2 linked regions of the Schizosaccharomyces pombe genome follow. Changing the gene in region 2 together with the main gene of any one other region gives a genetic interaction. Each region holds a gene or a part of one and is shown on either strand. Other genes may lie near its edges.

Region 1 (4,244 bases), 850 kb from region 2:
ATCCATGAATCATTTAATTAAGAAATATTATCTAGAAGCTCGCCTTTCTTTAACTGTTCATGACGAGGTTCGTTATTTATCATCAGATAAAGATAAATATCGGGTTGCATTTGCCTTACAGGTGGCTAACTTGTGGACTCGTGCGTTTTTTTGTCAACGACTTGGCATCAACGAGCTTCCACAATCTGTCGCATTTTTTTCTTCCGTTGATATTGACCATGTACTAAGAAAAGATGTTAAGATGGACTGTGTAACACCCTCTAACAAAGTCCCCATACCTCCTGGAGAAGAGCTTACTATAGAGTCAGTTCTAGAAAAACTCGAGCAGTCCGGTCAATCACTTGAGCCACTTGAGCAAATTCAGTGTTTTGTGGATGTTAAAGCTACTACTTCAGCAGAGATTACAGAAGAAGACAAAAAAAACATTGCATATTTAAAAGCACAAGCATTTTACTGATCAGCAAAAGAATAATTTATTTTAGTTAAAAAATGTGTTTTTCGGTTAGGATAATTTTAGGGATAGTTATGACATTGAAAATAATTTTCATCAAAAGGTTTGTTTAGTGGAGCGAACGATGGTACTACAAACTGGCTCATGACGAAGGAAAAAAATCATTAAATTAGAGCAAGAAAGACACTTTTGTAACTAGCTGTGTCGATTTTCGGACATTATCGGAAATATTATTAGACAAAAAAAAAACAACGAGATAGTCAAAACATATAGAAACAGAACGGATCAACACGTATGTACACGAAGGGTAAGGGGAGTCTTATGAAAGGAAATCACAAGAAGGTAGCTAGAAAAGTAGCTGAGGAATCGTATTATGCACCAAATATTTTGATGGAAAAGCCATTTTTAACAAGCAGTAAAAGTACCATTGGCCTTGTCAATAGAAGTCTTAAGTGCAGCAACCCAGAGTATAAGTGAATCTTCGTTATCAACGCGAAATTCGATAGGTTTGTTTTGCGTAATTACGGTAAAAAAGTATTTGTGTGAGCTTTCCGGAACGTTTATTTCAGCAACATCCTGAATGTCGGCTATCGGTATCACTTTAACAGGTTTGTACTCTCGGTTCGTGTTGTAAATAGTCATACCATATCCACGAACAACAGCCCAACACTTGGACCACCTATGTAAATTTCCATGTAGCCAGTGAATGGTTCCTTGCATAAGAACTTTATTTTCATCCAAGAGTTTATAGAGATTTTGTAAGGAAGCCGAATGCCTGTGCTTATTCAGCGTATTAACTTCTTGTGGGTTGAAGGGGTAATTTGCATTTTCTTCATTGATACCTGGTGGTCTCAACTTTCCAAACTGTATCAAATCATAAAGTGAAGTACAGAAATGGTCACCCTGACCAGTTTCCAAGTCTAAAGGAGAAGTCGTTTGATTACGAGGTTCAGTCGAAATATTGTCGAAGTCAGTATCAGAGATCTGAACGTTAGGCTCGCTTTCGGTTCGAGATGAAGAGTTCGCAAGGATATAACTGATAGGATGTCTTGAAAACGGTGCCCTATAACCCGTTGTGGATCTTAGAACATGAACCCATTCCTCAGCATCCTCATTTGAAGTGGCAATGAGACGAATTATCTTTTCATTTAAATACAGGAAAAAAGCTAAACATTAGATATAAACATCAAAAATTCTAACGTACTTTTTGGTGATTTTTCTTTGTAGTAGGCAACAGCTGAAATATCCTGAGTAGGGAAAATAAATTTGGTTTTGTACTCCTTGAAGACTGTTAGCGCGTCGTTGAAATTTGCACATTTTATTCACAAACCTTTTCGTCTTTGTAAAAAGATAACTGATCTCTGCGAAGAACAGCCCATAATTGCTTTTTAGTCTAGGTTGTTAGCATCCACTACAAAAAAAACCATGAGTGCAAATATTGACTCTGAAACGGGAAGCAAATAATTGGAATATTCTGAAAATCAATTGGTCAAAGTGCTTGTAGGGTGCTGTTTGCATCATCATATCCCCAAATCAAAAGCGAACAATAAAGAATTAAGAGTACGTATCATTCACTTCTAAGTACACTTCACAAAATTAAAGAATACTCCAAATCCCTTTCCACTCAAACGTATCGTAAATATTACTCAGACAACTAAGTTAATGAATACATACAGAAGTTGCATGTCCTTTCTTTATCAACCATCCGGATTTTAAAACACGCTCAAGCTCTGGAAGCCTTCTTGCTTCATCAAGGCTAGCAGTTCTGAGATGCGATGAAACTCCTGGGTCCATTTCATCAAGCGAATAGTCAAACTAATAAACGCCTTCTTTCTTTTGAATACATCAAGAAAATTCCTTAAACTGAAAGGTGTTAAACTAGAACGATGTAAAGTCGTCCTCTATACAGATTTTGGTTAAAATCACGTTTCCTAACGCATACGTGTTAGTGGTACCAGCGACGTACATATTCAGTAATAGCGTTCATTAACGTATCGCTATTTGTCAAGTGAAATTAAAATGTATGGTAGAGAAATTTCAATAATAGAAATGATAGTACGAATAAATTGTAGCAGTAGAATTGAGAAGCCTTCTTTTTGAAAAAGGTAGTCTGAAAATATGTCATCTTTATTTTGAGAGGCATACAACCATATAGTACATGGACACAGTAATCGTGTAGAAGTGCTACATCTCGTATACTAATTAAGAATCAAAAGAACTTTTGTAAATCCTACTGTTACAGAAATTCAACTTTAGGTTGTATTGGTGCACAGTGGTAAGGGATTGTTGTAAGGACTGGCAGGATGAAAACAAAAAAGCTATTTAAAGGGAGCACTTGTTCGCTGTAACAAAAAGAAAAGCAACAAGAAAGAAATACTTTTTTAAATATTTTTTAGAGAACCACTTTCTCTAATGTAGAAAGCGTTGGTCTTTCCCATTCGGTTCGAGACCTATGAAAGCTACTCAGTAGATACTGAGTTAGTAGGGAGTAGGGTTTAAACGTGATTTTAGCATGGTTTCTTGGAATAATAATAAAAATTCCCTTCCGTCCTCTATGCCATCTTCTTTATGCTTCACTTTACGTCCAGATAGTTGATAGTTTCCGGTCTTGTAAGATGATTATTGATATGGTAAATCAATCACAATCGAATGAAAGATAAAAGAATAAGAGTATGTAACCCTTTAAGATGGGAAATATATCAAGCAAGAATGGGGTTAAAAAAAAAACAATTTTAAAGTCATTAAATCCTTTTTAATACCATTAAATAGTACTAATTTTGCTCGTGAGTAACTAAGGTCGGGTAGCATAGTTGGTTATTGCGCACGACTGTTAATCGTGAGGTCGAGGGTTCGAGTCCCTCCCTGACCGGATTTTTTATGCTTCAAATCAACTGCAGCAAAAACATACGCTCAATCAATTTAATAGAAATTTGCAAACACCCAAGAACATGTTTAACTCAGTCAGTTTACTGCGAAGCTCACATCCAAAAAGCAGGTTTGATGGCGTTTTCCTTTCTACTTCATATGTTAGCTTAGCAACCAAAAATGCTTTATTGAGCCCGTTATGCTGTGAATTTCCAAGCTTTCGAATAAAATTGTTGCATTCGTGTTAAACAATAAAAAATATTTTCCCTACTATTACTGAAATAAAATGCCTTGAGTATCGGAAATCTTTTCAAAATTCAGGATACAAAAAAGATGCCAAATTTTTTTATATTAAATCAAAAAAAGTAAAAGACGTTGAAGTCTTTATTGTAATACCTCTATTAAATGATGGTATAAACTGAGGAAACCTATCAAATATACAGAACAAAAAAAATTATATCCATAGTAATAGTGGTCAAAAATTAGGTATACAAACAAGATTAATGGTGGAACAAACGCAAGGGGATCTCGGAAAAGACCATGTTGAACTCATTAGCAGTGTCGCGAACAGCTTGATCCATGACACTACCGCCAGGTGCAGCAACATATTTGACACCGCTTTGGGCAAGACGATAGATGTTGTCAGGGAAGGGGAAGAAGGCATCACTGGCACAGACAACATCCTTGCAAGTAGCCAAAAATTCCTCCCGCTCCTTTTTAGTAAGAGGCTCGGGAATAGTCTCGAATGCAGACTCCCATTGCTCACGTTCACTACCTTCAGCAGGAACGGCATCAAGGACGTACAAGTCAATAGCGTTAGATTTCTCAGGACGCTTAGCAGACTTCTTAAATTGCATACCCAAGACTTTAGGGTGATGACGAAGCCACCAGTTATCAGCCTTATCACCGGCCAAACGGTTGCAATGAA
Region 2 (3,368 bases):
GTGTCTCCCGTTTTCACAGGATAAGCTTCTTCAATAAGTGTATAAGCAGTAAGGCCTTGCAGGAGAGCAGCAGAAGCGATCTTCAATGGAATCTTTTCAGAGACCTTACTAACTAATGTGGTGGGAACGTTGGTATATTGGGCATACGCACCAAATGGTGTAAGGTAGACCACTCGATCACCCACTTTGAAATCTGCTTCAACTTTATCGCCGACTGCAGCAACAACACCGGCTGCCTCTTTACCAGGTATATAAGGAAGAGGAGCAGTATACAAACCGGTTCGCAAATAAGTATCTATATAATTCAATCCTGCATATGCATTCTTAATAACCAAGCCATTGGGTGCTGGTTTGGGAATTTCCTTCGTTATTACTTGCAAAACGGAAGATGGGCCGGTCTTGGAAACCTGCACTAATAAATTTGACATATTATAAAATTACTAAACAAGAAGAGCAAATAAGTTGGTTTTAAAGCGTAAGTAAGGATTATGGGAACGAGTGGTAATAGTTATCGTTTTATAATAATGAGGTTAGGCATGGAGATCGCAGTGCAACGATTGAATGAGCAAGAAATGGCATCGATGTCGATACAGGACACCCAACTTATAGTTGGCAAGGAATCTCCTAGAAGAAAATTACTAATCAAACATGATCTTGTTTTTTCGTAAAAAGACCATTAAAAAGGGAAAAAGGATGTTTGTAGATACAAACAGAGATGCGATACATGAAGAATGGTATATTTATAAATGTTTTAGACGGTCTAAACGAGCAGCAAGCTCTTCAAAAGAAGGAGCTTTATTAGAATGTGTTAATGTTGGATTTGTGGGTAAATAGTTAGAGGATTGCAGTGAGGATGCATTTGTTGATCCATTATTCTGAGGTTCAGCGCGTTTTGAAATGTTAGCTAGATTCCCATTCACTTTTTCATCATCTTCTTGAGTGTTTTCTTCTTTCAATGAAGTAGGTTGTTCACGATTCTCAGAAGATTCGAGGTTCAACATTGTATCAGCTTCAGCAGAAGATGGGATATCTTTATTAGCTTCTTTAGGATAATCATTTGGAAAATAAGTACGAATTAACTCTTTTCTATAGGCTTCGACTAGTTCATCCTTTGGAATAGGAGGGTATAAAAGTTGGTAAAACTAGAATTGATTAGCATACGAACTTTTTTTAGCGCGTTTTTTTATTTTCAATGAAAATAAATAACAGAAACTTACAGCAGTATCATTAGTAGCTAGATCAGGGTCACTTAATCTTGCAAACTCCTTGCCATACAATTTTACTAGAAAATCATGAACCTATAAATAATAAACAAGTTAGTTATAAAAAACTAAATTTTAAAAATTTATCTTTAATTGTTGACTTACAAATCGCAATTCTTTAATCTGTAACTGAGGTGCAGCAGCCATAACATGATACAAAGAAGATTTAAACGACATAGAATCATTAAACGCGCGTTTCTCTAACACTACGCACCTATTGGCAAGTATTTCTACATCAACTTGAAGCAATTCTAACAACTCAATATAGATATCCTGCATAATTAAAGGTTCAATGCGGGCTTTGGCCAAAGCCGGTGAATACGACTTTAAGCCCAAAGCAACATTCCTTCTAGCTTGTTTGGCTAAAGCCTCTTCCTTTTGTCTTAATATTTCTATCCTTGAGGCTGCTAATTTCAGTTGTATCTGTAGTCTTGACATATTGGTTTATGCTAAGCTCAGGACACTAATAACCAGATAAGTATGTTTTCACGATGAAACTGTTCAATTATTTATAAAAATAAATAGAAACTGAGGAATCTTACAAAAACATTCAAGGGATGCTATATATACTGGATTCGAAATCAAGAAGCTAATGTGTTGATATCGCGTTTCAAACGTTAACTCATGGTGTAACTCAGCTTAGCAAATGTTTAGATATTTATTCTAAATATTCAGATGCCTTTTATATTAACATTGAAAAGTTGAAAGCAAAACGTTCTAGTCATCTATATTTGCTAAATACTTGTTCGTGAACAATACGCTCAAAGTCCTGCGAGAAATGCTTCTTACATCTATAGCTAGTATTAGTTATATTTTAAACCCACGGATTTAATAGAAATGTTCAATGATAGCTCGGTCCCTGCTAAAAGCACTTTTTGTGCAATTTCTGAAACCAAATATGATCTAGTGAAACGTACATATGGGTTTGAATGAACATTCTTCTTTAGTATTAGACTTTTTTTTTTGAATTTCTTTTAAGCATAGATCTTTGCCATGTAAGGCTGTAATTGCTATATGCCAAGTTGTTTTAATAATCATCGATGAATTTACAAGGTTATAAAGTGTCTTACTATAAATACTATGCTTTACTAAAATCTCCTAAGCTATAGTCAAGTTTAGCACAAGCAGCCATATCACATATTCAAAAGAGTATTTTTTCTAACCAGTACCAAGTACTGGTATTCGAGCAATGTCTGTTGAAGTAGATAAATCTTCTCATTCGAAGCCTAAAATTGAAAAAAAGAGCAAGAGAAATAAAAGAAAATGGCTTAATGACGAGAATAAGACTCATGTTACTGCTTCTGAGGCTGCCATTGAGAGATTGAAGAAATCCGCTAGCTTTTCACAAGCTGCACAACAAGCTTTAAAGCAATCGAGAAAGGAAGACAATGAGCGAGATATAGAAATGCAGGATGTTGATGCTGAAGCTCAACCTCATGATTTGTTACCAATTCCACAACCATCAGTTGAAGACTTTGTAGATTCAAAACCGCATGTTAAAAATATCACCTCTGTCTTGCCTAAATGGCTAGCTGAGCCCATAACTGTCGATCCTAATACAACTGTGGAATTCTCGTCTTTAAATATATCTAGTAAACTTGTCGAGCGACTTCAAAAACAGAACATCACCCGTGGATTTGCTGTTCAGGCTGCTGTATTACCGTTACTCTTACAAGATGGAAGACACGGTCCGATGTATAGTTATGGTGGAGATGTTTGTGTAAGTGCAGCTACTGGCAGTGGTAAAACTCTTTCGTATGTGATTCCCATCGTCCAATGTCTTAGTCACCGTACAGTACCTCGTTTGCGTTGTGTGGTTATTGTTCCCACACGAGAATTGACAGTCCAGGTTGCTAAAACCTTTGAGTATTATATGTCTGGTGCCGGTTTACAAGTTTGTGCCTGGACTGGTCAAAAAAGTTTACGACATGAAACATATCAACTAAATGGTGATGAGAACGAATGTCGTATTGATGTGTTGGTGAGCACTCCAGGTCGATTAGTTGACCATATCCGAAATGACGAAAGTTTCTCTTTGCAACATTTGCGTTACATGGTAATTGATGAAGCTGACCGGTTGCTCGATCAAAGCTTTCAGGACTGGGT

What was found. Genes that interact genetically often act in the same process or in processes that back each other up.
Region 1: mutations in ist1 (region 2) and opy1 together harm fitness less than expected from each alone (positive genetic interaction), as found in Schizosaccharomyces pombe (one large-scale study listed by BioGRID).

What each region holds. Positions count from the first base shown.
Region 1 is NC_003421.2:944,016-948,259, forward strand, and holds opy1 (protein opy1), read right to left. Parts: upstream 2,370-4,244; 5' UTR 2,246-2,369; coding exon 2,126-2,245; exon of another isoform or gene 1,845-2,125; coding exon 1,782-1,844; exon of another isoform or gene 1,732-1,781; coding exon 1,656-1,731; exon of another isoform or gene 1,618-1,655; coding exon 857-1,617; 3' UTR 501-856; downstream 1-500. Other genes in the region: pog1 (DNA polymerase), read left to right, coding at 1-457; ade10 (bifunctional IMP cyclohydrolase/phosphoribosylaminoimidazolecarboxamideformyltransferase), read right to left, coding at 3,817-4,244. UniProt on the Schizosaccharomyces pombe protein: Binds phosphatidylinositol 4,5-bisphosphate (PtdIns(4,5)P2/PIP2) at the cell membrane.
Region 2 is NC_003421.2:1,795,541-1,798,908, forward strand, and holds ist1 (MVB sorting pathway protein), read right to left. Parts: upstream 1,711-3,368; 5' UTR 1,701-1,710; coding exon 1,368-1,700; intron 1,355-1,367; exon of another isoform or gene 1,299-1,354; coding exon 1,218-1,298; exon of another isoform or gene 1,143-1,217; coding exon 741-1,142; 3' UTR 501-740; downstream 1-500. Other genes in the region: zta1 (NADPH quinone oxidoreductase/ARE-binding protein), read right to left, coding at 1-428; ATP-dependent RNA helicase Dbp6, read left to right, coding at 2,452-3,368.